2 linked regions of the Anolis sagrei genome follow. The protein of the gene in region 2 interacts with the protein of the main gene of each other region in a biochemical or structural test. Links are inferred from orthologs where the notes say so. Each region holds a gene or a part of one and is shown on either strand. Other genes may lie near its edges. The genes, in order: DNA-binding death effector domain-containing protein 2 and CFLAR.

Region 1 (15,350 bases), on a different chromosome or scaffold from region 2:
CTGGAGACTGTGCTCACAGGCCCACCCAACCACCTGGCTACATGCCACTCAGTTGAGAGCTTCCTCTTTGATTAGCACTGAATACAATTCATGTACAGACAGCTGACCCCCATGGTTTAACTAATGAGCTTTGAGGGAACAGAAGAGCTCATCCACCTTCCTGTATCAACAGTGTGGTGATACCACAGCTGCCAGAGTTGGCATTAACACACTGGCACTCCTTGTGCCATCCACCAGTGTGGCTCTGAAGCAACTGGAAACATTTCCCCACTCAAGATCGGGCAAGGCTGCAGGAGTTTGTGTCAAAACACATTGGGAGCACGTCAACCAGAAGGTTGTCAGGAAACGGTTTCTGCACAACTGTTGTGTACAAAATGGGAAGCAGTTTTGTGGCCTTCCCCAGGCAGCACTCATGCCCGCCTTGAGTAGCTACATCAGATGAGAAATGGGGCCAACATTGGTAAGAACAGCAGCAGTAGAAAGACCACTGACCCCCCACCCCCCACCTCCAAATGCACATCCAGGCCTCAGTTCCAGTGAAACAATCCTACTGCGGTCACCCTCTTTGCAGCCTGAAAACAGGTCAGCAAGCCCCCCGTGAGAGGGTCTTCCATGAGTTTGGAATCAGAAGCAAGCCCCAAAAAGAAACCTCAACTGCATTACAACACAAGTAGGATGTTTCCAGAGAATGAGGCCTGTCACCTCATCATCCATGCAATCCCCGTAACATGGGCTGAGCATTTTTTACAAACCAAAATGAGAGGATTTGGCAAAAAAGTAATGAGATATTAAAACAGCAGTTTCCACAAAAGGGACCCACAATTTCTGGTTTTTAGAGCACAATTCTGCCCCACCCCGTTCACTTGATACACAGATTTAACTTTCACCGAGCAGCAAAACCCATCAGAATAACCTCCCGCCCCCTGTGCTGAAGGCAAGCAGTCCCAGAGCCCAAGGCCTCTTCTAATATAATAAGAGAAGCAGAGAGGAGGCAGAAGCAATAATCATGAGGAGCACTTTTAGGCTTTGTTTTTAGTTTGTATGGGTGTTTTTGCCATGTCTGGTACTTGGCCCACTTGCCTGGGCCAATACTTATGCTTTTCCAGGGATGGATGCCAACTGTAGACTGAGAGGAAGGTGTTTCAAGACTTTCAGCATATGGCCATCTCAAGAAACCATTCTGCGTTTCAATATGGCAGAAAGATACAAAGTGGTGCAAAGGCCCTGCCCTGTCTTCCTTCTGGGTTTTGGCTGCTGCAGATAGCAGACCGAGCGCATGGAAAGGCGGGCTGTGAGGAGGCAGCAGAGAGACTGCTCCCTGGAGTGGCACCAAGACCAACACAGGGCTGTATTCCACCTCACCATGGGTTTACTGGACATGGAATTGCAGCACGACTATTGTGTTTAGGGTCAAGAAAGGTGGCCCTTCTCAGGACTACAAAGGGTATTTTTTAAGTAAGGTCCGTTTTGTTGTAGACACTAGTAGTTCGCGTGCATACCGCAACGAGCGTGTGCGTCGTGTACCGGCATGCCTCGGGAACAACTGTGCTCAGTTTCCGCTCTGTAGCCCACCTGTACGGTTCTGTTCTGTGCTTTTAAAATGTTTAAGACTATCAACTCACCCTCTGCATGTGAGGTTCGCTCAGGGATACGGTTTTTGTCAGCAAGGAACCTGCCTGCTGCAGAAATTCATCGACAGATTTGTGAAGTGTACGGTGATACTGTGATGAGTGAAAGCCAAGTGCGTAAGTGGGTATAACAATTCAAAGATGGCCGTGACAACGTCCATGATGAGGACCGCTCCGGTCGCCCTTCTTTGATTACAGTGAACTCTTGGTTATCGGAGCGGGCGGCAAGTTTTTATGAAGAGGGTATTTTAAAATTGGTTCAGAGGTATGATAAGTGTTTGAACAAACTTGGCAACTATGTCGAAAAATAGAGTGAAGTATGTACTTTCTGAAAATAAATTTACTTTTTTGAAATAAACTTTCGTTCAAACGGACCTTACTTAAAAAATACCCCTCGTATTAACTGCTTAGATGGGCATCTGCCAGTTAGGCTTTGTCTGGCCAGCAGAAAACGAACAACAGCATCTGAAGTGCCTGGTTCTGCCGCCCCTGGCTGTATAGATTATTATGAAAAGAGCCCAACACATATCATGGCCTGATATCTGCAGCAGTCGTAGCAGTTCCGCCTGCACAGCCGAGGGGAGCCCTCCTAAGGGAGCAACTGGCTCCCGGCCAGCGCTGGTGGCCCTTCCTTGGAGCTGTGTGCCCCCACCTGCTCCCATGGGGCCCTGCTGGAGGTTTGCGGCACAAGCCCCTCGCCGTGCCGGTCTGGAGCGGCCCCCCTGCCCCCAGGAACCTCTGGAGCGCCATCGTGCCTTTGGGACTTGGCCGGCATGCAGGAGAGAGAAGGGGAAGGAAGGAAGGCGCCTGGGCCTGCTCCGGAATGAGGCAACGCAGCACAGAGTTAAAACAGTTTGCTTCACAAAGAAGTGGTGGAAATCTGGGTGCGTGGATTCATTTACCTTTGCGAGACCATTCTGTGAGAAGAGTGCACAAGAGAGACAGAGTCTCTTTATCATCAACTTTTGCTTAGCAACCTGGAATTTAAATGGTGGATTGAGAAAGAATTGGCAGAAAGCAAGCAGCAACAAAAAACCATTTGTGGACGTGGACGTTTTCCCCCTTAGTAGCCAAGGCCTAGCTTTTATGAAGGGTGAGATTGCGCTCTGGGAGGCAGATGGGAGCCGGCCCCCTCCCCGCCGCCGCTCAAGGCCGTGGCTGGACGTGGAGCCCATGACGGGAAAGCAGCTGCCTACGCCCCACGAGCCTCCGGTTCTGCCCCAGGGAAGCAAGGGAACAGGACAAGGAATACAGGCAACAATCTAGTGTGGAATGGAGCTTACAGTTTGATCCTTGCACCTACCCGGCAGAAGCCTTAGCTGCACCTTGAAGTTGCAGTTTTGACACTCATTGTATTATTTTTGAACCTTCTTCGTTAGAACCCCTTTGCCTGTAAATTGGTCAGACGGTAAGACAAGCGTTTTTGTGTATTCGCTTTGGTTTCATTTGCATTGCACTGAGACAAAGAAAGCAGCACATTGGCTGGCCCTGGGCACCCACCTCCTCGCCACGGACCACTTCCAATACAGTCCATGGCAAACAAAAAGCACCCCCAAGTTGAAGAAACTGTAAAAACCACGTGTGGACCGTCCCACACGACAGTCTGCAAGCAGATTTCACAGTTTCTCTATGTTCAGGAAATACATGGCTGAAAAGGCCTAGCAATGCAGGAATAAATGACAGATGCTGGTCTTTGAGACAGACATGAGGCAGAAATCTGAATATAATTTAACTAGGCAGACCAAAATCCTTCAAAGACTTGGACCTTTAAACAAAGTCCAGTTCCAGAAGTTGGTATGATGAACCAAATTGCGAGAAAAATCCTCTTTAAGAGGGCCAGTGATAAAACCGTGCAGTAGCAACATGGCGGGATACTGCAGCCACATGGCCACAGCTTATCTATATGTACGTTTCATTGCCACTTGCATAACACCCACGAAAAGGCTGTGGCACATGGTGCTCCTGGCACAATGACTCCAAATCACTCTTTTCAAAAGCAGCTCAATTTGTACTTGAGTCTTTTTCTAGTTAAGTATCTTTATCTGAAGCAGAGGGAGCATCTTCACACCTTGTCATGCTCCCTACCCAGGACCCGTTTCTTTAGAATTCTTGATTTAATTGGGATTCTCTTCCATTCAATTGTGGGAATAATTTTTAATCTGAAATTACCAAACCAGAAAAATGGGAGATGGCGAGAAGAGAACCAGATCAGACCCACCGCCTTGAGCCGCCTCCAATTTACACAGAAAAGGACCTCAAAGCAGCGAAGGCCGTCTCTCTCCAAGACCAGTTCTTTAAGCACCTTAGGGCACTGAATTAAAAGCTCCCAGTTTCCCCAGCAACTGATGCTAAGGGTTTAGCAACCTGAAGGCACCCTTTCCCATGTTCATAAAGCTGCTGGTTTCATGCAATACACCCGGGACAATTTTTTTTCTGATTTAGTTATCTATCATCATGGGCGAGTTAGAAAATTCACCATTTAGGAATAAATAGACTGTGGTCATTTGAAAATAGGAAACCAGTAAACTCAACTAGGAATAGAAACCAGTAAAACTCAACTAGGAATGGAAGATAACTTAGTCCCAAAGAGTGGGACTAAAATCTCCATGCTCCCAGTGGACTGGAGCCCCGTGGTGTCCAGCTGCACCTAACAATGCAAGCCCACCACCACGTTCCCTGGCCTGCCACTGGAGCCTTTCCTGGCAGCGATGTGCACCGGGCCGCCTCCTCCCCCCGCCCCACCCACCTCCCACTTTGGCTCCAGTCACCCTTAGGGCTCCATTCCCTTAACAGAGACCAAGATGCTCATGGCGTATTATTTGGAAGGACTCGAGGGAGCCCTAAGAGCACAGCACGGGCCAGGCAGACACTTACCACAAGTCACTTTGGTTGGAGTTTGGACCTCCTGCTTGGGAGCAGAAGGCCCTTTGGCTCCCCGACGCCTGCGGGGAGCAGCAGATTTTGCTCGGCCTCTGCTGACTCGTTTCCTTTTGCTGGAACTGGAGCCTAGAGGAAACAGAAGAAGGGAGGCTGGGAGTTTCTTGGGGCATCAGGACCCAGGGATGGCAGCTCACGTTCCCTTGAGCTGTGGTCCCTGGCTGGCCCCATGGCGCTCAACGCAGAAGCCGTCCCCCCCACAAACAGACACAAGAACCCAAACAGGCTGCTTGTGGGGCTTCACAGAAAGGGACTACTGGGTAGAGAAGGGGAAAAGGCAGACGGAAAAGGGAGAAACGCATGCCGCTCCTTCCCTGGGTGGTCCAACACGCACCTGCCTCCCACTGATCACTCTGAGGCTCTGCAGAGGCTGAATTGAGACAGTTGTCCACCTGCTGGTCGGATGACAGGACAGACGGCCCGTAAGTGTATCTCTCAGGAGAAACTAGGGAAAGAGTGACACAAGTCAAACAAAGGGAGAAGCACCTTTCTGGCAAGCAAGCCCAGGTAGCAAGTGCAGGAGAGGTAAGTGTCACCCCCACCCAGAACTGTGAAAGGAGCCAGCCCCGTCATGGAATTCCTCCATCCTGTTTGGATAAAGTTGGCCTGCAAGCTAGAATTAAGTACCCACTAAAGGAAGAGCGACAGCACTGTCATAAGCGAGTCAAAGGTTGAGTCATTTCCTTCCTGCCTGCGCGGCTGCATACCTGTCCGCTGCCTTTTCAGAGTGACGTAGGGCAGGAGGTCGTGCCTGGTGAGCACTCGCAGGAGCTGCAGCAGCTGCACAAAGTTGGTCTCGTCGCACTTGCCCCTCCGCTCGAGCTCCAGGAGAAGCCGGACACCGTCTTTGGGCAGCCCCCTGGCCCCCTCGAGGCTGCCTTCCGCCCAGGCTGAGCCCCCCTCCTGCTGCTGCTTCTTCCTCCAGCCCTGCAGGGCGGGTGAGGCCGTCTCTGCGGCCCCCTCTTCTGAGGCCGCCACCGCCCAGAGCTCCGGGTCCAGGGGGTGGTGCAAGGGCTGCGTCTCCTCCAGCAGGAAGGAGAGCACCTCCACGTCGTTCTGGGTCAGCTGGGCCCCCACCACTTCGAACATGCGGTGCAGGGGGATCATCCCGTAGTACTCCAGGCACTCCTCCTCCTCCCAGGCGTGCGCAAACAGGGGCCGCCGGAAGTCAGACATCATTGGGGCGGGTGGCGCAAGCAGGAGGAGGGGAGAAGCGCGGCAAGGAGCAGAAGCGCTGCGCAGAAGGAGGAGCTTCGAGTGGGTGAGACAGACAAGAGCCTGCAATGGAAGAAACAGCACTGCTCAGGGATCTCCAAACCACTGGCAGTGCGACACTTGGGCAACAGACATGAAACACAGAGACAAGGTGGGCTTGGAGATCGTCAGTGTTTGGAAAGGGAGCAAGGAGTCTTCTCAGGAGGCCACAAGCTGAGCGCTAGTCCACAGCGTGATCATGAAGTGTGGCTCTGGGTTGTGTCAAGAAGCACGCATGCAAGCGGAGGGAAGTCATGGTGCCCTCCCCCTCTCCTGCGTGGCCTGGAATGGGGCTCCCCTTTGGCTAGAAGCATTGGCCGTGCGCCCAGAGGACAATTCTCTTCAGAGCATCATACAGTTGGAAGAGACCACATGGGCCAAATCATCCAACCCCCTTCCATGCAGGAAAAGCACAATACTAATAATAATAGTAGTCTCCTCTATATTGTTTATGCCCAGCATTATTTTTTAAACTTCAATTACATTTGGCCCAGCCAGTCTTTTAAATGTGCATTGTGTTTTTGTTTATGTTTATGCTATTTGTGTATGAGATTTATTTTAATTGTTTTGTTTTGTATTGTGATTGTTATTGCTTCTATTGATGTATTGTGGGCTCGGCCTCATGTAAGCCGTTGGGGAGATGGTAGCAGGGTATAAATAAAGTTTTATTATTATTTATTATAATAACCTTTATTTATATTCCGCTACCATCTCCCCTGACGGATGTTTAAAGGCTTCCAAGGGATGAACTTCCTCCAGACTCTGAGGCAGAGAGTTCCACTGCTGAACAGCTTTTCTTACAGTTAGGAAGTTCTGTTTGGGCATGTAAGAAATACGTTGGGATGTGTGTGTCCGTCCTTTTTGGACTCCTCTCAATTACACTTTATTTTCTATTCCTTCCTCATCCAGGGTTTTATCATTTTACTTCGTCCATTTGGCCTGCCCATTGTCCAATGCTATGTCAATATGCTTTATCTATTTTACTTTTGCTACTGTATGTATTTTATTTTTATATAATTTTTGTTGCCTGTTTTTTGCATTTTATTCTGTTGTATTGTATCATGTAAGCCGCACTGAGTCCCCTTCGGAGAGATAGTGGCGAGGTAGAATTAAAGTTGTTTGTTGTCGTTGTTATTATTATTATAACTGTAAAATAAATAATAATGATAATAATAACAATAATAAAACTTTATTTATACCCCACTACCATCTCCCAAGGGACTTGGTGCGGCTTATAATAATAATAAGAAGAAGAATAATCATCCTTTATTTGTACCCCGCTACCATCTCCCGAAGGACTCAATGCGGCTTACACAAGGCCGAGCCCAAAATACAACAATAAACAATAACAACAATAATACAGCAAAATAAAACAAAAACAAGCAATAACATTAACAACAAGCAGTGACACAGTTAAAAACAATGGCCGGGCCAAATGTAATAATTAAAATTAAAAGTGCTGGGCATGACAGGTGGGGTGTTTGGAGGGGGGTGGGCATGCAGATATCTTAGATCTCTGAATAAAGTGCGTTGGGACATAATGCTAGGAGTTTCTTTATTCTGGAAAGGCACACTGGAACATCCATGTTTTCAAGCTCCTCCTAAAGATTGCTAGCGACGGCGCCTGCCTGATGTCCTTAGGGAGAGAGTTCCAAAGTCGAGGGGCCACCACCAAGAAGGCCCTCTCCCTCGTCCCCACCAATAGCACTTGCGATGCTGGTGGGATCGTAAGCAGGGCCTCTCTAGATGAATGAAGAGATCGGGTGGGTTCGTACACTGAAATGTGGTCATGTAGGTCATGTATTGTGGGCTCGGCTTACATCAATACAAGCAATACAACCACAATACGAAGCAAAATACAACTACTAATACAAAGCAATTAAAATAAATCTCATACACAATTAGCATAAACATTGAATGGTAGCACAAGACACATTTAAGAACTATGGCTGGGCCAAATGTAGTTAAGTTAAAAAATAATGCTGGGCATGAACAAGACAGAGATGCATATCTGTCCGAACGCATCTCCCTCTATGTCCCACCTCGGAGTCTGAGATCCTCTGGGGAGGCCCTGTTCTCGACCCCACCTCTGTCACAAGTGAGATTGGCAGGGACGAGGAGCAGGGCCTTCTCAGTGGTGGCTCCTCACCTATGGAATTCACTCCCCGGGGACATTAGATCAGCAACATCCCTCCTTTCCTTCAGAAAGAAATTAAAAACATGGACGTGGGACCAGGCGTTTAGGCAATCTGGCAGATAAATAAAGGACTGTGACGACGGATAGGAATAGACAATGTGGAATGAAGTATGGACTCTGAGTTGGTGAATGCTGTGTCTGAGATTGGCTATCGATTGTGAGATATATTGTTGTTTTAATTGTTAACCATTTAATTGCTGTTTTTATATGTTATTGTATTTGTGCAGGCACCAAATTGTGCCATTTTGTAAGCCGCCCTGAGTCCCCCCTCGGGGGTTGAGAATTATTTATTATTATTTATTTCGAGGTTTTATATACCGACCCTCTCACCTTCAAAGAGGGATCCGGACCGGCTCACAACATGTGTTAACATACAAAGAATATACAATAACAACACAATGTCACTTCATTACACGATTAAAATATCAGCACCATACACATTAAAACATTATCATCCCAGTTAAAAGAGCCAAATCGTCCGACACCATCACAATCCCATTCATCATCCTCCTTTCATGTGGGCAAAGAATTAAATCAGTTGTCAAATGCCGCGTTCCACAACCAGGTCTTTGTTAGTTTCCTGAACGTCATGAGGGAGGGGGCAGTTCTGATCTCTAATGGCAGGGAGTTCCAAAGTCGAGGGGCCACCATCGAGAAGGCCCTGTCCCTCGCCCCCACCAGCCGTGCTTGTGCAAGCGGTGGGACTGAGAGCAGGGCCCCTCCAGACGATCTTAGTGGTCTTGATGGTTCAACTGCGGAACTCTCTGCCCCAGAGGCTGGTGGAAGCTCCTTCCATGGAGGCTTTCTAAAAGAGGCTGGAAGGCCATCTGTCGGGTCGGGATGTTGATGGTGCTTTTCCTGCAGGGCAGAAGGGAGTTGGACTGGATGACCCAATGATTCTGTGAAGCAGGAGCCAAGTGCCAGGGCTTCCCTTCTGCTTGCTTCTTGTTGCAGATCAGGCAAACTGAAGGTGCCGGAATGGGTGGATACGGTCAAGCCGTGATTGTGCAGGCGGTGGGACCGAGAGCAAGGCCCCTCCAGACGAGAAGGGCGGGGTAGAAGTAGACGAAATACATAATAAATAAATAAATAAATAAATAGAGGAGGTGACACGAAGCTGAGTGTTGGGGCCACGTCCGTTCTAGCAAGCTTGGGCCTTCCTCCCTCCCTCCCTCCCTGTGTTTTGGACTTCAACTCCCAGCATTCCTCACCGCCTCGGGACCCTTCCGCTTAAGCGGAAAAGGAAGGGCCAGAGGCGGTGAGGAATGCTGGGAGTTGAAGTCCAAGTGTTTCTGGCTTGGAAGGAAGGTTCCTCCCGGCCAGGCCTTCCCAACCGGAAGAGGAGGCTCCCTCCCTCCTTCCTTCCTTCCCTCCCTCCCAGTTCCTCTTTTGCGGGAGGCCAAGCGCGCACCGGCCGCCAGGGGGCAGCACACCAAGGAGCCTCGGAGCCGAGGGAGGGGGATAGAGAGGGGGCACTTCAGCCCCTCCTTCACTCCCCCTCCCCCCCCTCCGGCCTGCCCGCTTCTCCCTCTCTTTGTGCGGGGGGGGGGCAGCCATGGCGAGAAGCCTTCAAAGCCAGGCGCCCCCCTGCCTCGTCCCTTCGAGGGAGGGAGAAAAGAGAGAGCCCCCTCCCTCCCTCTGCCCCCCCTCTGCCCCCCTCCCCCGTTCTCACCGAGCCTTCGACGATGAGCGTCCTCCTCCTCTTCCTCCCTGCGCCGTCCTTCTGGTCTTTCTGGTCCCTGGATCGCTTCTGCGCATGCGCCAGCCTCTCCTCAGCTGAGGGCCCCTCCTTAGCGCATGCGCAGCGCCTCTGTTTGTGTCTCGCAGGTGTCCAGCCCGCGCATGCGCCCCACGGCCTCCCTCCCTTTCGGCTCGCTCACGCGGACGGCCCACGTGAGGGGGCGGGGCCTCCCCAGCGCGGCCTCGACGACGAGGAAGACAACAACAAGAGACGTCACAAGCTCCGCCCCTCCCTCCCCTCGCCTGGGGCGTCGTCAAGGAGACGGCGGGGGTTAGGTAACCAGGGGCGGGGAAGGAGCAAGGGTGAAGTGCCGCCCTCCGTCCGCTTGGTGGCTCCGCCCAGGAAGGCGCCGCCGTGACGTCTCAAGCCTGCGGCGAGCGGAAGCACCTCTTGAGTATCGAGGGCGCTGATTGGCCAGGCCGTGAGGGAAGGAAAGCAGGCGGTGGGAGAGGGCCTGCGCCTGCCAGGGAGACCCAGAGTCCCAGGTGAGTGGCCGAGGGAGGCAAGGAGGAGGGCCGGAGCCCCGCAGGAGAGTCCCAGGCAGGCGGGGAGCAGGCCCAAAGCCTCTCTTCCCTGGGCATCCCGGGCAGGAAACTCAGCTGCCTCCAAATGGGCCTGTGGGCCTTCTGCTGCCATTCTGTCCCATGCAGGGGTGGCTCAAGCCCTTACGCAAAGTGAGCATTCGCAGTAGAGTTGATTTTGCCCAGTGGGGCACTTAAGGCACTCTTGGGGGGAAAATAGACCTTGACATATGCGAGTTGTAGTCACTGGGATGTATAGTTCACCCACAATCAAAGAGCATTCTGAACTCCACCAATTCTGGGCACCACAATTCAAGAGAGATATTGACAAGCTGGGAGAATTTGCCCAGAGGAGGGCGACTAAAATGATCAAGGGTCTGGAGAACAAGCCCTATGAGGAGCGGCTTAAGGAGCTGGGCATGTTTAGCCTGAAGAAGAAAAGGATGAGAGGAGATATGATGAGAGCCATGTGTAAATATGTGAGAGGAAGCCACAGGGAGGAGGAGGGAGCAAGCTTGTTTTCTGCTTCCCTGGAGACTAGGGTCTGGAGAACAAGCCCTATGAAGAGAGGCTTAAGGAGCTGGGCATGTTTAGCCTGAAGAAGAAAAGGCTGAGAGGAGATATGACGAGAGCCATGTGTAAATATGTGAGAGGAAGCCACAGAGAGGAGGAGGAGGGAGCAAGCTTCCTTTCGGCTTCCCTGGAGACTAGGACGCAAGGGAACAATGGCTTCTTTGGAAGCTTTGAAGCAGAGGCTGGATGGCCATCTGCCAGGGGTGCTTTGAATGCAATATTCCTGCTTCTTGGCAGAATGGGGTTGGGCTGGAGGATGGCCCAGGAGGTCTCTTCCAACTCTAGGATTCTAGGAGAGTCCCAGGCAGATGGGGAGCAGGCCCAAAGCCCCTCTTCCCTGGGCATCCCAGGCAGGAGACTCAGCTGCCTGCAAGTGGGCCTGTGGACCTGGAGGCCAGGCTGGCCTGTGGACGCAGGGGCGGCTCAACCCATTACACAAAGTAAGCATTCGCAGTAGAGTTGATTTTGCCCAGTGGGGCTCTTGAGGCACTCTTGGGGGGAAAATAGACCTTGACATATGCGAGTGGTAGTTACTGGGATGTATAGTTCACCTACAATCTGAACTCCACCAATTCTGGGCACCACAATTCAAGAGAGATATTGACAAGTTGGAATGTGTCCAGAGGAGGGCGACTCAAAGAATCAAGGGTCTGGAGAACAAGCCCTATGAGGAGCGGCTTAGGGAACTGGGCATGTTTAGCCTGAAGAAGAGAAGGCTGAGAGGAGACATGAGAGCCAAGAAACGAGATTCCATCTGAACATGAGAAAGAACTTCCTGACTGTGAGAGCCGTTCAGCAGTGGAACTCTCTGCCCCGGAGTGTGGTGGAGGCTCCTTCTTTGGAGGCTTTGAAACAGAGGCTGGATGGCCATCTGTCAGGGGTGCTTTGAATGCAATATTCCTGCTTCTTGGCAGAATGGGGTTGGACTGGAGGATGGCCCAGGAGGTCTCTTCCAACTCTAGGATTCTAGGAGAGTCCCAGGCAGGTGGGGAGCAGGCCCAGAGGCCCTCTTCCCTGGGCATCCCGGGCAGGAGACTCAGCTACCTGCGAGTGGGCCTGTAACCTGGAGGCCAGGCCGGCCTCTGAGTGGGTGCGTGTTGGGGGCATATTCAGGGGCGGCTCAACCCATTATACAAAGTAAGCACTCACAGTAGAGTTGATTTTGCCCAGGGGTGCTCTTGAAGTGCTCTTGGGGGAAAACAGACCTTGATATTTGGGAGTTGTACTTACTGGGATGTATAGTTCACCTACAACCAAAGAGCATTCTGAACTCCACCAAGGATGGAATTGAACTAAATAGGGCACAGTGTTCACATTTGGGCATACTGAGTGTTCATGTAAAGTTTGGTCCATATCCACCATTGTTTGAGTCCACAGTGCTCTCTGGGTGTAGGTGAACTACAACTCCAAACTCAAGGTCAAACCCAGGGGCGTTCCTGGGGGAAAATAGACCTTGACATATGCGAGTGGTAGTCACTGGGATGTCTAGTTCACCTACAATCAAAGAGCATTCTGAACTCCACCAATGATGGAACTGAACCAAATATGGCACACAGAACTCCCATGACGAACAGAAAATATATATCAGTAATTCATAGAATCCTAGAATCCTAGAGTTGAAAGAGACCTCCTGGGCTATCATCCAGTCCAACCCCATTCTGCCAAGAAGCAGGAATATTGCATTCAAAGCACCCCTGACAGATGGCCATCCAGCCTCTGCTTAAAAGCTTCCAAAGAAGGAGCCTCCACCACACTCCAGGGCAGAGAGTTCCACTGCTGAACGGCTCTCACAGTCAGGAAGTCCTTCCTCATGTTCAGATGGAATCTTCTCTCTTGTTGTTTGAAGCCATTGCTCCGCGTCCTAGTCTCCAGGGAAGCAGAAAACAAGCTTGCTCCCTCCTCCTCCCTGTGGCTTCCTCTCACATATTTATACATGGCTATCATATCTCCTCTCAGCCTTCTCTTCTTCAGGCTAAACATGCCCAGCTCCTTAAGCCACTCCTCATAGGGCTTGTTCTCCAGACTCTTGATCATTTTAGTCGCCCTCCTCTGGACACATTCCAGCTTAGAGTCAATATCTCTCTTGAATTGTGGGGCCCAGAATTGGACACAATATTCCAGGTGTGGTCTAACCAAAGCGGAATAGAGCATGGGGAGCAGGACTTCCCTGGACCTAGACACTATACTCCTAATTGGTTGGGGGGGGGGGGATATTATTATTATTATTATTATTATTATTATTATTATCTTTATTTGTACCCCGCGAGCATCTCCCGAAGGACTCGATGCGGCTTACAAAGGCCAAGGCCTCAAAACACAACATAACAATACAAAACCTAAAGCAAATTAAAAACAGTTAAAGCAATATTAAACAACAAGCAATAAACAATACATCAAAACACTATAAAACTGGGCCAGGCCAGAGTTATGGGCACAGGATTAAAAGTGCTGATGTGACAGGTGGTATATAAGGATTCTAGGGTAAGTGCAGTGTGCCGCAATCATAGTTCTACTAAAGTGCTTCTGGGACTTGGTATTGGAGATTTCCTAATCGGGAAAGGCACATTGGAACAGCCAGGTCTTCAAGTTCTTTCTGAAGACTGCCAGTGTAGGGGCCTGTCTAAGATCTTTGGGGAGGGTGTTCCAGACAACAACACTGAATACTGTTTGCTTACCGTTGAAAATTACCTAGGGCCACCTCTGTGTGGGTGGGTGGGTGTTGGGGGCATATTGAGAGCATGATGGGGAGTAATAAGTCAGTGGTGAACCAAGGGTGGCCTGGGGTGGGGGCAGGCAGCCTTTCTTCACCCGCTCTTCCCCCTCCCTCCCCAGGCGCCATGGCGGAGGACCTGTCCCAGTCGCTCTTCCTGCAGCACCAGTACATGTGCTCCGAGTGCGGGCTGCTCTACGACACGCTGGAAGCAGTGCTGATCCACCACCAGAGCCACCTCCCGGAGACCCCTACTCCTCCTCCTGCGGAAGAAGGAGCCGTGGCCCCGACCCAGGAGAGCAGCGGCTTCCAGTGCCTGGAGTGCGGCTGCGCCCTGGGCTCCCCGGACGAGCTCCTGGCCCACCAGGAAGTGCACCCCAGGGAGGTCCCCTCCCGGCCCCCGCCCACCCCGGGGCAGATCCGCTACCAGTGCAACGAGTGCCAGGAGCTCTTCCCCTCCACCGCACTCTGGCTGGCCCACCGCCGGGCGCACCGCCAGAAAGAGCCGGCCGCAACGGCCTGCCCCTCGCCTCCCCTTCCCCGCCCGCCCTCCCTTCCGCCTGCCCCGCCGGTGCACCCCTATGAATGCTCCGAGTGCGCCGGCCTCTTCCTGACTCCCGAGGAGCTGCTTGAGCATCAGGGAGAGCATTTCACGGAGATCGAGAAGGAGAGCGCAGAGCCCCCTGAAGGCACGGTGGCGGCAGCGGCGGTTCAAGAAGCGGCCAGCCCCCGGACATCTCCATTGCGGGGTCCTGAAGAAGACGCCCCCCTGCCCGCATCGCCCTCCACGAAGGCGCTCAGCTGTGGTGAATGCAAGCAGGCCTTTGCCTCAGCGGAAGCCCTGGAGCAGCACCGGCTGGAGCATCATGCGCGGAGCCAGCCGGAGGAGTTCCTCTGTGGGGAGTGCCAGCGCGGCTTCACCACGGCCAAGCGGCTGCTGGCGCACCAGCGGGCGCACATGGACGGCACCTACGAGTGCCCCAACTGCAACAAGATCTTCAAGAAGGCGGCCTCCCTGGAGCAGCACATGCGGGTGCACAAGGGGGAGGCGCTCTACCTCTGCGTGGACTGCGGCCTGGGCTTCTCCACCGAGATGACGCTCGTCACGCACCGCAAGAACCACACCGCCAACCCCCTGCACCGCTGCCACTGTGGCAAGGCCTTCAGCAACATGACCAAGTTCCTGTACCACCGGCGCACACACGCGGGCAAGAGCGGGGTGCCCCCCGCCCGAGGGAACGTGAAGCCGGGGCTCGGCAGGCAGACCCTGGAGCCAGTCCCGAGCGATGGGGAGACGGTGGTCAACGGTGGCAGCAACAGTGGTGGAGGGTCCTCTTCCTCCCCCAAGCCCCCCTCCTCCACTTCCTCCCCAAAGAAGGGGCCGGGAGCAGAGGGCAGCGGGGCGGGCTTCCTGTGCCCGCAGTGTGGCAAGGGCTTCTCCACCTACCTCCGGATGGTGCGCCACAAGCGGGTGGTGCACGTCCTGGAGCGCAAGCACAAGTGCCCCATGTGCAGCAAGAAGTTCAAGAAGCTGGTGCACGTGCGGAACCACCTGCGCACCCACACCGGGGAGCGGCCCTTCCAGTGCTCCGAGTGCGGAAAGACCTTCGTCTCGCAGGCCAACCTGGCGCGGCACCACATCACCCACACCGGGGAGCGCCCCTACCAGTGCCAGGTGTGCGGCAAGCGCTTCACCCAGTCCTCCAACCTGCGCCAGCACCGCCTCCTGCACCTCGTGCCCGCCCGCCAGGGCCCCCACACCTGCCAGGACTGCGGGGCCACCTTCGCC
Region 2 (15,754 bases):
GTGAGGCTCCAGCACACTTTGGCAGAGAAGGCTAAAGACTTTGGAAAAATACAACTCTTAGAATCCCATTGAACTGAGCCATGGCAGTTAAAGTGGGTTCAAGCTGCATTAATTCTATAATGTAGATGTTCAAAACACCTAGAGGGCCAAAGTTTGTCCATGCCTGGTGTAGATGTGTTCTACCACTGTGTAGACCAGGGTTCAAATTTCTGCTCAGTCATGGAAATACTCTGGGTGCCTTTGGTCAAGTCACTCTCTCTGCAAAAAGATACTCACGCTAAACAAGTTGTGAAAAGAAAACAACCTCTTGACATAAATGGGAAACACACAACAATCCTGGAGTGCAGTTTGCAACCACTCAATGCTATGAAATCATGAGAGTTGTAGTTTTTAGGGCTGGGCGGTTTCATTTCGTAATTTCGTAATTCGTTAAAAATTCGTTATTTTTTTTATAACGAAGCGATAACGAACCATTCAGGAGCAACTAAAAAACGAAACGAATTTTTAAATTCGTTTCGTAATTGTTTCGAATTCGTTTTGTATTCGTTTCGTTATCGTTTTGAAATTGTTTCGTTATTATTTCCGCATGTCTGGGGCAAGTTTTATAGTTGTTGTTTGTTTAATCAGTGAAAAAAAAATTATAAATATCACACCAACAGTCAACAACAGAGGGAGAGGGAAGCTTCAGAAGTTCCCCCTGTCCCATTTGGAGGTTTTTTAGCGTATTGCGCGGTCGCATCCGCCATTAACGAATCGATTCGTAATTGTTTTGTAATTGTTTCGTATTGTTTTGCAATTTTACGAAATTTCGTAAATATCGAACTTTTTAAAAGAAAAATTTCGGAATTCTTTTAAAAATCGAAACGCAAACCCCCCCAAAAAACGAATCGGTTTTAGAAACAAATTTTTCCGTGGTTGCCCAGCCCTAGTAGTTTTCCCAAAGAGTGCTGTTGCCTCACCAAACTAACAACTCCTAGGAGACCATAGCACTGGGTCATGGCACTTAAAAGTGGGGTCAAACCACATCCATTCTACAGTGTAGAGCCAGCAATCTCTGACTTGCCAAGTAATTTGCTTTCAAGACAGATTGGTAAATAATATAATCTTTTTAAAAACCCTAAATGGCTCCCTTGAAGCCTAGATGCGTTAGGACCCCCTTTTATGTTAAAGCAGCAAGCCTTCATTTTCAAAGAGGAAGGAGCTGCTCAGTTTCCTGGTTTCCATGTGTAAACAAGAATCTGTTTGTTTGTTTTTAATTTCCTGAAACTGCTGTTCCTCCTCCTCCTCCTCTTTCTTTCAAGTGGCACCCACAAGAAAAAGGGAACAAAAGAAAAGATCCTTGCTGGGGTTTTCCACTTATTTCCTCCCTTCTGCTGATAGTACTACGTAACATGATTTTTGTTCCTGTGTTATAAAGGTCATTTTCTAATTGGTTCAATCATTTAAAAACATGGCAAAAGTTTATTACACTGCAAAAAAAATGTTTTTTGCGAGATCCTGTTATATGTATAGTTGAAGGCTTTCACTACCTCACTACCTCTGAGGATGCCTGCCATAGATGCAGGCGAAATGTCAGGAGAAAATGCCTCTAGAACATGGCCATATAGCCCGGAAAACCTACAACAACCCAGATCCTGTTATAGTTTTTCCTTTAGTTTTTCAATGAATATCTCACTGAATCTCAACCAATCCAATCTACTTTGTGGCAGACACAAAACGAAGTTTCTGGAGTAGAACAACTACTTTCAAAATAAGTATGGAACAATTAAACAGGAAATAACACTTTCAAACCAGGAACAGAAAAAAAATTCAAATATGGTTACATAGTGATGAGGCCATGGCTGGGATTTATCATTATCCCCGTCAGGGAAACTCTCAAGAAAAACCTTAATGGGAAGTAACTCATTGTGACTCACAATGAGACAGAGTGCATCTACAGGCGCTTCCAGACAGGCCTTATACACCAGGATTTGATCCCAGGTTTTCTGTTTATCCCAGATTATCTGGCGGTGTGGACTCATATAATCCAATTTAAAGCAGAAAACCTGGGATCAGATCCTGGGATATAGGGCCTGTCTAGCACGGCCCTACACTGTAGAACAGGCATGGGCAAACCCCTCTGGGTGTTTTGGACTTCAATTCCACAATTCCTTTTTTTAATTAATTATCTTTATTTCAAGAATTTTACAGTTATACGTAAAAGAGGGGATGGGGGATTGCTGGGAACTGGGGGGGTGGGTGGGTTGGGGGATAGGGTGGGTTGATAAAGATGGGAAAAAGGGGGAAAGGTTTGGCTCCCAGTCCATTCCACAGGGAGTTTTTTAAATTAAATATTATATTTTTCTCCCATTTTTCAAGAATTCTCGCAGCTTTCCAGATGTTTAATCTTCTGCCTGAATTATTCTTTTCCCTACTAGCTGTTAGGAATTGTGTGAGTTGAAGTCGAAAACACCTGAAGGGCCAAAATTCGTCCATGCCTGCTGTAGAATGAATGCAATCTGACCCCACTAACTGCCATGACTCAATGGTATGGAATCATGGGAGTGAGGAGCCGTGATGGCGCAATAGGTTAAACCAGTGGTTCTCAACCTGTGGGTCCCCAGGTGTTTTGGCCTACAACTCCCAGAAATCCCAGCCAGTTTACTAGATGTTAGGATTTCTGGGAGTTGAAGACCAAAACATCTGGGGACCCACAGGTTGAGAACCACTGGGTTAAACGCTTGTGCCAGCTGAACTGCTGATCTGAAGGTTGACGGTTCAGATCTGTCGAAAGGGTGATTTCCTGTCTGTCAGCTCCATCTTCTCATCCGGGGACATGAGAGAAGCCTCCTCCAAAATGGTTGCCTCCTTCAGAATGGTAACACATCCAGGAGTCCCTTGGGCAACATCCTTGCGGACAGCAAATTCTGACTTGTAGTATATTCTCAATCCACATCTGACACACACAAACAGCACTCTTTGACAGAGAAGGCAAAAAGACCTTGTAAAACGACAGCTCCCAGGATTCCATAGCACTGAACCCTGGCAGTTCAAGAGGGGGTCAAACTGCATTAAATGCAGTGTTTCCCAACATGTCTCAGGCCCTTTCTAACTAACCTGCTATATAATCCAGCGTGCAGCAGCCAGGTTGCTAACAGGAGCGGCGCTCAGGGAGCACACAACTCCTCTGCTGCGCCAGCTCCACTGGCTGCCAGTTTGCTGGCTTTAGCCTATAAAGCCCTAAACGGTTCTGGCCCAGCCTACCTATCCGAACGCATCTCTTCCTACGAACCCTCCAGGAAGTTAAGATCATCTGAGGAGGCCCTGCTCTCGATCCCGTCTGCTTCGCAAGCACGCTTGGCGGGGACGAGAGACAGGGCCTTCTCTGTGGTGGCCCCTCGGCTGTGGAACTCCCTGCCTAGGGATATTAGATCAGCCCCCTCCCTCCTGACCTTTTGTAAGAGAGTGAAAAGCTGTCTCTTTGAGCAGGCATTCGGAACCCCGGAATAGATAAGTCAAGCTTGAGATGGAGAATGACCCAGGAACGGCCAAGACGATGAAATGGACGAGGATTGGAATGAGAAGATATAGCTCTTTTTAAATTGTTATTGCACTCTTTTTTGTCTAAATGCACTTAATTGTTTTTGCTTTTGTATTGTCGCCTGCGGGCTGATATGGGCGGGATATAAGTGATGTAAATAAATAAATAAAATCAGATAATCCAGTGGTTCTCAACCTGGGGTCCCCAGATGTTTTTGGCCTACAACTCTCAGAAATCCTAGCCAGTTTACCAGCTGTTAGGATTTCTGGGAGTTGAAGGCTAAAACATCTGGGGACCCACAAGCTGAGAACCACTGAACTGGATTATGAGTTTACACTGCAGTAGAATCCTGTTCTAAGCAGATAATCTGGATTGTATATAGCAGTGGAGATAGGGCCAAAGTGCTAAAAATAAGATGGCTGTCTTTGAATTCACAGCTGTGACTGGGAAACTGCGTGACCAGGCCTAGTCTCACCTCCCACGCCTTAAAAGCCTCCCTTTTTGTCCTTTAGGGCTGTTTTTTTCCCTCAGAGAGAGACGGAAAACAACTCAGTTTCCCTCGTGATCTCAGCGACCACAAAACGCCTTTGACTAAGAACTCCACAATGAGGAAACAACACGGCGCGAGGGAAACCACAACAAAAGCCCCGCCCGCGCGTGCTTGGATGCGCGCGCAGCTTCTTGCCCTCCTCGGGAAGCCACTTCCGCGTGCCGGAAAAGTCTTTCCAAAATAAGTTGCGCCTTAAAGGGGCCGCTGAGCTGAGCCCTTTTTGCACTGAAGCAAGACAAGCATTGTTGTAGTATTAATAACTAGCCGTCCCCTGCCACGTGTTGCTGTGGCCTAGTCTGTGTATATGTGTTTTGTTTGTGCATATTTTTGTGTATATATGTGTGTGTGGTTTTGCGCATGCGTTGTAATGTATTTTTTTCTTTTTTTGGCTTTTTAAATCTCTTCTGCTGTGTTTTGCAGTGTTTTTATGAGTGATGGTCACTCATTGGCCTGATAGGTGTCTTCTGTCCGCATTTGGTGTCAATTCGTCCAGTGGTTTTTGAGTTATGTTAATCCCACAAATGAACATTATATTTTTATTTATATAAGATTAAAGATTAATAATGTATTAATAACTAATAAACTAATAACGAAGAATTAATAGATTATTACTTGTAATTATTAATATTAAAAGAGATTCCATCTGAACATGAGGAAGAACTTCCTGACTGTGAGAGCCGTTCAGCAGTGGAACTCTCTGCCCCGGAGAGTGTTGGAGGCTCCTTCTTTGGAAGCTTTTAAACAGGGGCTGGATGGCCATCTGTCAGGGGTACTTTGAATGCAATATTCCTGCTTTCTGGCAGAAAGGGGTTGGACTGGATGGCCCATGAGGTCTCTTCCAACTCTATGATTCTACTGTGAGAGCCGTTCAGCAGTGGAACTCTCTGCCCTGGAGGGTGGTGGAGGCTCCTTCTTTGGAGTGTTTTAAGGGGAGGCTGGATGGCCATCTGTCAGGGGTGCTTTGAATGCCATATTCCTGCTTTTTGGCAGGGGGTTAGACTGGATGGCCCATGAGGTCTCTTCCAACTCTATGATTCTACTGTGAGAGCCCTTCAGCAGTGGAACTCTCTGCCCTGGAGGGTGGTGGAGGCTCCTTCTTTGGAGTCTTTTAAGGGGAGGCTGGATGGCCATCTGTCAGGGGTGCTTTGAATGCCATATTCCTGCTTTTTGGCAGGGGGTTAGACTGGATGGCCCATGAGGTCTCTTCCAACTCTATGATTCTACTGTGAGAGCCGTTCAGCAGTGGAACTCTCTGCCCTGGAGGGTGGTGGAGGCTCCTTCTTTGGAGTCTTTTAAGGGGAGGCTGGATGGCCATCTGTCAGGGGTGCTTTGAATGCCATATTCCTGCTTTTTGGCAGGGGGTTAGACTGGATGGCCCATGAAGTCTCTTCCAACTCTATGATTCTACTGTGAGAGCCGTTCAGCAGTGGAACTCTCTGCCCTGGAGGGTGGTGGAGGCTCCTTCTTTGGAGTCTTTTAAGGGGAGGCTGGATGGCCATCTGTCAGGGGTGCTTTGAATGCCATATTCCTGCTTTTTGGCAGGGGGTTAGACTGGATGGCCCATGAGGGCTCATCCAACTCTATGATTCTACTGTGAGAGCCGTTCAGCAGTGGAACTCTCTGCCCCTGAGTGTGGTGGAGGCTCCTTCTTTGGAGTCTTTTAAGGGCAGGGGGTTGGACTGGATGGCCCATGAGGGTTCATCCAACTCTATGATTCTACTGTGAGAGCCATTCAGCTGTGGAACTCTCTGCCCCGGAATGCAGTGGAGGCTCCTTCTTTGGATGGCTGGATGGCCATCTGTCGGGGGTGCTTTTAATGCAATATTCCTGCTTTTTGGCAGGGGGTTGGACTGGATGCCTCTTCCATGAGGCCTCTTCCAACTCTATGATTCTAATGTATCAATAACTAATAATGTTCATTAATGTGGCATTAATAGATTATTAATAATTGTAATTATTAATGTATTTAATAATGTCAATCAATAGTCTTGACACAGTTTGGCCACACTTGAATTGCCAGGGCTCACTGCTGTGAATTCCTGGGAGTAAAGAGAAAAGGCACTGAATTTGGAAAAACTACATCTCCCAGGATCCGTGGTGTTGTTCCGCAAAACAATGTGGAGGCCGCTCTCCCCGGAAGTCAATGCTGGGAACTGTAGTTTGACAAAGCCTGGAGCCTTCTCTGCCAAAGATCGCCTGTGCCTCGCCAAGGCGATCGCCTGGCAGTTCGAACTGGGGTCAAAGTGCAACAATGTTGAGTCACTCCAGTTTGAAAATAAAGTGCCTTTCTTCGAAGGATCAAAAAGGAGGGGCTCGATCTGTTCTTTCGCCCCGCTCTCTTCCCATGAAGGAGGAAGGAAGGACACACACACACACACACATCCGCTTGATCCTCTCCTCCTTCCCCTCGTTCCTTCTTTCTCTCCCTCTCTCTCCCTCTCTCTCTCCTTCTAGAGAATCAGCTGCTACTCACAGGCAACCCGATCGTCCCTCTCAAGATGGCAGCACCCCTCGCAGTTTGGCCAGTGACGCGGGAGGGAGGCTTTCGCTTTCCGAGAAAGAGGCCTGGACGAGGAAGAAGGGGAGGAGGAGGAGGAGGAGGAGGAGGAGGAGGAGGAGGAGGAGAGAGCTGCAAAGAGGGGATGCAATTCCGCCACTAGCCACAAGGGGCGCCCGCCTTCTACACTCTTCAGTACTGATGATCGTGCCATTACTGCTCAAGCAGGGAGCTTTGAGATGGTTGAATAGAAGCTCTAGGTCAGTGGTTCTCAACCTTCCTAATGCCACGACCCCTTAATACACTTCCTCATGTTATGGTGACCCCCAACCATAAAATTATTTTTGTTGCTAATTCATAACTATCATTTCGCTGCTGTTATGAATCATAATGTAAATATCTGGTATGCAGGATGTATTTTCATTCACTGGACCAAATTTGGCACAAATATCCAATATACCCAAATTTTAATACTGGTGGGGTTGAGGAGGGACTGATTTTGTCATTTGGGAGTTGTAGTTGCTGGGATTTATAGTCCACCTACAATCAAAGAGCATTTTGAATTCTACCAGCAATGGAATTGAGTCAAACTTGACACAAAGAACTCCCATGACCAACAGAAAATACTGGAAGGGTTTAGTGGGCAGTGACCTTGAGTTTTGGATTTATTGTTCATCTACATCCAGAGAACATTGTGGACTCAAACAATGATGGATCTGGATCAAACTTGGTACAAATACTCAATATGCCCAAATGTGAACACTGGTAAAGTTTGGAGAAAATAGACCTTGCCATTTGGGAGTTGTAGTGGTTGGGATTTATAGTTTACCCACAACAAAATAGCATTCTGAACCCCACCAACAATAGAATTAGACCAAATTTTCCACACAGAACCCGCATGACCAACAGAAAATATTATGTTTTCTGATAGTCTTTGGCAACCCCTCTGACACCCCCTCGTGACCCCCATGGGGGTCCCGGCCCCCAGGTTGAGAAACGCTGCTCTACAGTGTGAATAGAAGATGCACTGGGTTGCTGTGAGTTTTCCAGGCAGGATCTTCATCACAAACGTGGAGGCCATGACAGACTTTGTATTTCTAGGTGCAGAGATTACTGCAGACGCAGACTGCAGCCAGGAAATCTTGGGAGGAGAGCAATGACCAATCTCGATAAAATAGTAAAGATTAGAGACATCACCAAGATCCGCATTGTTAACCAATGGCAACCAAGATCCGCATTGTTAAAGCAATGATATTCCACATAGTCACCTACAGATGTGAGAGCTGGACCTTAGGGAAGGCTGAGCGAAGGAAGATAGATGCTTTTGAACTGTGGTTTTGGAGGAAAATCCTAAGAGTGCCTTGGACAGCGAGAAGATCCAACCAGTCTTCAGGAAATACAGCCCGAGTGCTCATTGGAGGGAAGGATACTAGAGACAAAGATGAAGTACTTGGCCACATAATGAGAAGACAGGAAAGCTTGGAGAAGACAATGATGCTGGGGAAAATGGAAGGAAAAAGGAGGAGGGGCCAACCAAGGGCAAGATGGATGGATGGCTTTACTTACTTAGGCAATCCCTCATAGTCCGAGGATGATGGTCCTCCAAGGTCAGTGTCCTGGCAGTGGGTTCGTAGGTGATTGTGGAGCCCTATTCTTGATCTGCATCTTCTCCCACAGTGAGGGCATTGGTTTCCAGGTGGAAGGCGGTCCCGGTCAGGGTTGGCTTCACGCGTCTTCCTCCTGGCACGTTTCTCTCTTTCGCCCTTCATTCATGCCTCTTCAAATTCTACAGCACTGCTGGTCACAGCTGACCTCCAGCTGGAGCGCTCAAGGGCCAGAGCTTCAGTTCTCAGTGTCTATGCCAGAGGATTTAAGGTTGGCTTTGAGCCCATCTTTCAATCTCTTTTCCTGCCCACCAACTTTCCCTTTTCCATTCTTGAGTTCAGAGAAGAGCAACTGCTTTGGGAGACGGTGGTCGGGCATCTGGACAACGTGGCCGGTCCAGCGGAGCTGATGGCGGAGGACCATCGCTTCAATGCTAGTGGTCTTTGCATCTTCCAGCACGCTGACATTTGTATGCTTGTCTTCCCAAGAGATTTGCAGGATTTTCCAGAGGCAACGCTGATGGAATCATTCCAGGAGTTGCATGTGACATCTGTAGACTGTCCACGTCTCGCAAGCGTATAGCAGGGTTGGGAGGACAATAGCTTTATAAACAAGCACCTTGGTATCCCTGCGGATGGCATCACTTGAAGTGAGCTGGGGGTGGTGACAGCCGACAGGGAACTATCGCGCAGGCTGGTCCATGAGGTCACGAAGAGTTGGAAACAACTGAACGAATGAACAACAACAGCAATCTTCATCACACTAGAGAAAAAAATCAACTTAGTCATGGCAGTCCAAAGTGGTTTCAAACTGTCTGGTCAGAATTAAGCAGGATGGCCTTTCTGGGAATCTCTTCGTCTTCCAGTACAAATTCCAAGCAAGTAGTTTTCATGTCTTTGCTTTGCTGCATCCAAAATAATTGATACATGTTTCCAAATATTTTTTTGATTTAACATTTCCAAATAAAGTAAACATAAAATGCATATTAAAAAAGTGAGGGTAGCGAAAAGACAGGAAAGGATGGAAAAAATAATTGGGGGTAGTAATAAAATAGCCATGTATGTGGTTTGAAAGTTATATTCTATTTTTGTTTGTGTTTAAAGACATGAGACAAACCTTTTGCTTTCTAAACATATATTCCATTTATGTAATATAAGGCATATGTATATTGTAATATAAGTCATCTATATAAATAAAAATGTAATGTTCGTTTGTGAGATTAACATAACTCAAAAATCACTGGACAAATTGCCACCAAATTTGGCCACAAAACACCTACTAACCCAAGGAGTGATCATCATTCAAAAAATTGAGTTTGTAATTTGGGAGTTATAGTTGCTGGGATTTATAGTTAACCTACAATCAAAGAGCACTCTGAACTCCACCAATTTTGGAGTTGAACAAAATGTGGCACACAGGACTCCCATGACCAACAGAAAATACTTGAAGGGTTTGGTGGGCATTGACCTTGAGTTTGGGAGTTGTAGTACACCTACATCCAGAAAGCACCGTGGACCCAAACAATGATGGATCTGGACCAAACTTGGCACAGATATTCCATATGCCCAACTAGGAACACAGATGGAGCTTGGGGGAAATAGACCTTGACATTTGGGAGTTGTAGTTACTAGGATTTATAATTCACCTACAATCAAAGAGCATTCTGAACCTGTTGAATGATAGAATTGGGGCAAACTTCCCAAACACAACCCCTATGACCAATAGAAAATACTTAAGGCCATCCAGTCCAAGTCCCTTCACCAGGGCAAGAAAACGTAATCAAATACTGTTTACCGACAAGCATAAAGAAATTACATATATTAGAAACCAACACTTTCTCATTACTTTATTTTCCAGATCACCAGACTAGGCCACAGCAACACGTGGCAGGGGACTGCTAATCATTTAATAAGATTCAAACTGTAATAATATCAACACACACACACAAACACACATATACATACACACACACATACACACACACACACACATACACAGTCTTTAACTGCTAATTGCAATTTGGTTCCTCCATGTTGCTTGCTCAAACATTCCAACCTTAATTGCAAATATTTACACACATAAGAAATAATTAACCATTTCCCTAGTCCGAAGTCCAGATGATCACTTAACAAATTGAAATGGTAAGCTCTGAGACATAAAGCAGCTGTCTCCAGCTAAACTCATGTCACTTTTACTTCATATTATTTGTTTTAACTTAACTGTGTTATGTGATTTCAGCTCCACTAAAACCACAGGTTTGGGGCCCGGAGTGCCAAGCTTCCAAAGAATCAGATAAGACACAGATGGGCTGAAGGCAAAGTCAAAAGCTTTATTCTCAGTGGCCAGAGAAGATGTCAGCAAAGACAGCACTGCAAAGAACTGACATATCTCAATACAAACATCCGGAGTTTTGGAGTTGGACGTCATATGTACACAGATGACGTTCAATTCTGTAACTCCTTTCCACCTGCTGTGAAGGAGGCTGTTCAGGTCCCGATCCTGTGACAGTCTGGATGAGGACAAACAAATTGAAATTGAATCCAGACAAGACAGAGGTACTCCTGGTCAGTTGGAAAGCCGAACAGGTTATAGGGTTACAGCCTGTATTGGATGGGGTTACAGTCTCTCTGAATAATAATAATAATAATAAACAACTTTATTTAATATCCCACCACCATCTCCCCAATTAAGACATGGGTTCATAGCTTAGGAATTCTCCTGGATTCATTGCTGAGCCTGGAACCCCAGGTTTTGGTGATGGCCAACGGAGCATTCACACAATTAAAACTTGTGCGCCAGGTGTGCCCATACCTTGGGAAGTCAGACTTGGTCACAGTGGTTCATGCTCTGGTTACATCTTGAATAGATTACTGCAACGTGCTCTATATGGGGTTGCCTTTGAAGACTGTTCAGAAGCTCCAAATGGTCCAGCAGGCAGCAGCCAGATTGCTCACTGAAGCAATGTATAGGGAGTGCACCCCCCTCCCCTGTTACATCAGCTCCACTGGCTGCCAATTCAAAGTACTGGCTTTAGCCTATAAAGTCCTAAATGGTTCTGGCCCAGCTTACCTGTCCAAATGGATCTCCCCCTATGAACCATCTTGGAGATTAAGATCATCCAGGGAGGCCCTGCTCTTGCTCTCGCCCCCTTCGCAGGTACTGGTGGGGATGAGAGACAAGGCCTTCTCAGTGGTGGCCCCTCAGCTGTGGAACTCTCTCCCCAGCTATGTTAGATCAGCCCCCTCCCTCCTGACCTTCAGAAAGAGTGTGAAAATGTGGCTATGGGATCAAGCCTTCGGGGAAGAACTATTGTGTAATAGATGGACAGGAATTATGTGCAATAAGTAACGGAACGATCTGGATTATGATTGTGAATAGCGTGGTTTTATAGTGATTGTAAAGTTTTTAAAATGTTTTAATGTATTTTAATCTTGATCTTAATGTTTAATTGTATATTTTTGTTAAGGCATTGAATGATTGTCTATCTGTAAGCCGCCTTGAATCCCCCAGGGTAGAGAAAGGCGGGATATAAATATAGTAAATAAAATAATAAATAAACATACAATATTTATTATCGTTGACAGCTATTTAAGTCTACTGCACTGGCCCCTGATAGGCTCAGAAAATGTCTGGCTAAGATCTGTTCCTGAGTGATCCAGGACTCCGTCCGATGTCATCACTGCTTGCTTTCCACAAACTTTAATAAACTGTGATTGATTCCCCCCAAGTGTTCTTTTTTTTTTTTAAAAAAAAAAAATCACACCAAGAGAAAAGAAGGGTAGTAGAGCTCTGGGTAGTAAATTAGGACTATATCAAGATTTTTCTATGTCACCGAGGAAGAGGAAAGGAATTGACGGGGAAGAGAAGTCTTAGATTTGTTATAATTATTCCATCTATATCTTCATCTCAAGTACTATTATACACATTGTCTACAGTTTTGAAAATTCAATATATCCTCTATAACAGAAAAGAACACACTCTTGTCATCCAACATCAAGACTGGTAATCATGTCTTCCCATTCTGCCCGATGTTCTTCCTATCTTCTCTTCTAGTTCTTTACATGTCTTTTATCTAATTTTAATTATTGCCATAGAAATCTAAAAATTAAATTCCATCTGTTAGTAAATTAATATTGTGTGGGTGAGAATTCACTAAGTTACATTGTCATATTTTCTTCTTTTTTAAACACTACACAAACTTTATGTATTTGGGTGTGTCTGTGTATGTGTGTTTTGAAATATTTAAATAACAAAGTTTGTAAATAAAGTATTCTAGTTAAAGAGTACTAACAAATCTCTATGGATTGCCACCTTGTTGTGGTGAGTAGGCTTGCGTGTTCCAAATAACCGACCTCCACACATTAAAACTTGTTGTGGTGAGTGCACAGGTGTCTTCCAAGAACTTTGAAGGCCATCATACTTGGACAACGAGGATGTAAGTAAGTAAACAAGCTGATTATCTGAAGTCTCTAAAATCTCTTGAACGTGAAGTATATAAATAGTGCAAAATGTATCTATATACTCTTAATACTATTTTTAGTCAACAAATCCTGCTGTGGTCACCTTCCTTTGGTTCTTTATAAATTAAATAAAGGGTTTCAATTTTTCCTGAAGTTTCTGTGTATTTATTTATTGTAGAACTAAAGCTAATTTAGCCATTTAAAAAACTTTTATCATCCAATCTTCCGAAGTTGGTATGTTTTGTTGTTTCTGTAGTTTTGCATATTCATTTAATTATTTTGAAAAGTGTGTTGGTTTATCAATCCACCCATGAGATGGGCGCGATCAGAAATGAATGTGATGGGGAAATCAGTTATGGGTTTAATATTCTAGCTCCAGCTAATATAATGGAGTTAGTTCAGATAAATAAAGGGTGCATAAAGTGATGGCCGTCTCAATGGGTGTTGCTAGGGTGGGTCTGGAAGAGGAAGCATTCCCAGAGATAACTTAGATCATATCAGGTGAAACAGGAAAAGGACCCAGGGGTTCTTATGCAAGTCCATTGTGTATTCCCCTCGAGTCTCCTGGTTCATTGTGAAAGGATTATGATAATTTTGGGAATCATTTCCTGAAATCCAAAGTGTGGTGGGGCATCATTCCAAGAAAATTCATAAGATGTTATTACAGGGTAAAATGAAAAGGCAATATAGGCACGCTGTATGTTCCAGTAGAGCCATGGCTCATGATTCATAGTCATGAATGCAACTATAGAATCCCTAATGGATAACAATCCAGCTTTTGATTCTTCTGCATCATAACACTTCAGATATTTGAAGACTGCTGTCATCTCTCCCTATAATCTGTTTGTCTCTGGGATAAACACACACAGCAATTTTGACGCTCTGCATGGGTCCTTCATTAGGTAACGTCAAGTTAGATAACTGTGAGAAAAGAACATTTGTTCTCTTGCCATTGTTTTATAAACATCTGTTATGTAATTTCTCTTCTGCAATTGTGTTCTCGTGTTTGTACAACAGACCATCTTGTGATCACATTTCTCTACTTTTTGTAATAAGGATTTATTATTGAAAAGAAATAAAACCTGATCATAGAAATAATGTAGGCTTTGCATATATTGATCCCCTTGTTGTTCAGTTTGCATGTACTGTATTTCACACAATAAGAACTTCAGTTTCCTATACAGCATGACAGTTACATAAGTTGTCCCACAGTGGCCTAAAAGCAGGCATAACTGCGGTCATGGTGTACTGAATTGTGCTTTAAAGTCTTCCTCCTGGGAAAGCGATTATCATAAAAGCTTCCTAACAAATAATGACAATGCTGGCAAACCCCCATGTTTTTCTGCAAAATTCAAAACCATGCCACAGCTGTCTGGCAGAAAACAGCTCTATCCCAAAGCTATATGTGTAGTCCATTATATTTATTGTAAATAAATTAGTATGTAGGTCCATGGATATTATCTAATAATGCAAAACATTAATGGAGCTGGAAAACAAAGTTGCTATGAAAAGTCAATCCCTACAGGATATCTGCTAAATATTTTTGGAAGGGTTATTTATATATTATTATAGTAATTGCAATGTGTTATAACTACAGACAAAATATATATTGTCTGAAGATATACTGAAATAGGTTTGATAGGTAAAAATAGAGCAACTACTGTTAAGTAAAGGTAAAGGTTTCCCCTTGACATTAAGTCTAGATGTGTCCGACTCCAGGGTGTGGTGCTCATCTCTATTTCTAAGCCGAAGAGCCGGCATTGTCCATAGATGCCTCCTAGGTCATATGGCTGGGACTAACAGCGGGAGATCACACCACTTCCCAGATTCAAACCGCTGATGTTTTGGTCAGCAAGTTCAACATCTCAATAGTTTAACCTGCTGCACCACAGGGGGCTCTCTCAACTACCATTAATTGTACCTAAATATTCCTGTATTATCTCAGGATTGTATTCTCAAGATCATAATGGAGCAAAGAAGCCTCAATTCTACCTTCCTTCCTTCCTTCCTTCCTTTGAATGAAACAGATGCTCTTTAAGATACCAGTCTTTTCAAGGTGCCAATAAATAGTATAAAATATATTGAAAGAATAATAAGCAATATTCACACTATCATCAGGAGCCAACACCTTGGGCAAAAGGTAGTAGGCAACCCTACAGAACAGGAGGATAAAAAGTCTAGTTGGAAAGGGCTCCTTAGGCTTCCAATCCTGCCTTTTCCCTCTCTCTCTGGGAACACTTCTTGCTTGTAGAAAGAGACAAAATAATCCTGTTAAAATATTATTATTTTATGAAATAATACTAACCCTCTGGTCAACACCAAAGTATGTGTATGTATGTATGTATGTGTGTGTGTGTGTGTGTGTGTATATATATGTGTGTGTGTGCGTGTGTATATATATATATTTACACATTCATACATACACATACTTTGGTGTTGACCAGAGGGTTAGTATTATTTCATAAAATACACATACTTTGGTGTTGACCATTAATTGCATATATATATATGCAATTAATCTTCAAGTAGAATGCTCATGGTAGGTGGAATACATAGACATTATTAACTAAAACATATTAGCCATATCATCCCAATCAATTATTTGAATTCGTGGGGGGGGGGGGGGGAACCAAAACGGAAAAATATTGAAATATCTAGATGACAAAGTAGATGGCAAGTCCATGAATATTTACTTAGAAGGAATTAAATTAAATGAAGTGGGATTTTGTTCCCTGATAAAAAATAACTGGATTGTTGATCAAAAGTACAGTTGGCCCTCTATATCCATGGATTCTGCATCCATTAATTCAACAAACGGAAAGCAGAAAGCTTTTCTTCCAGCTAGCTCTGACTGATAACTAGTCTATTTTTAGACCCCTGAGTCTGGCACAAGGTCTCCTGTTGTTGAGTCCTGTTGTCAGCATAGGAATCTCTAGATCCCTGTAGCTATCAACATTTGCAAACCCTCATCTGTAAAGTGATCACGTTCCCCCTTGCAGTGAAGATACTTTCATTTGTAGGACTGTGGTTGTTACAGTGACAGGAGAGCAACATGGACCTGCTATCTGCAACAGGAAATATATCCACTATAAAGCCAAGTAACCATCAGAATGGTAGTTCAA

The links.
Region 1: the proteins of CFLAR (region 2) and DNA-binding death effector domain-containing protein 2 form a complex in vitro, tested with the Homo sapiens proteins (2 studies listed by BioGRID). The link is inferred for Anolis sagrei from reciprocal best matches to the Homo sapiens genes CFLAR and DEDD2.

The regions. Positions count from the first base shown.
Region 1 is NC_090034.1:109,158,811-109,174,160, reverse strand, and holds the start of DNA-binding death effector domain-containing protein 2, read right to left. Parts: upstream 5,861-15,350; 5' UTR 5,745-5,860; coding exon 5,273-5,744; intron 5,011-5,272; coding exon 4,900-5,010; intron 4,635-4,899; coding exon 4,503-4,634; intron 1-4,502. Other genes in the region: zinc finger protein 574-like, read left to right, coding at 13,689-15,350. UniProt on the Homo sapiens protein: May play a critical role in death receptor-induced apoptosis and may target CASP8 and CASP10 to the nucleus. May regulate degradation of intermediate filaments during apoptosis.
Region 2 is NC_090021.1:164,404,633-164,420,386, reverse strand, and holds the start of CFLAR (CASP8 and FADD-like apoptosis regulator), read right to left. Parts: upstream 6,665-15,754; 5' UTR 6,544-6,664; intron 1-6,543. UniProt on the Homo sapiens protein: Apoptosis regulator protein which may function as a crucial link between cell survival and cell death pathways in mammalian cells. Acts as an inhibitor of TNFRSF6 mediated apoptosis.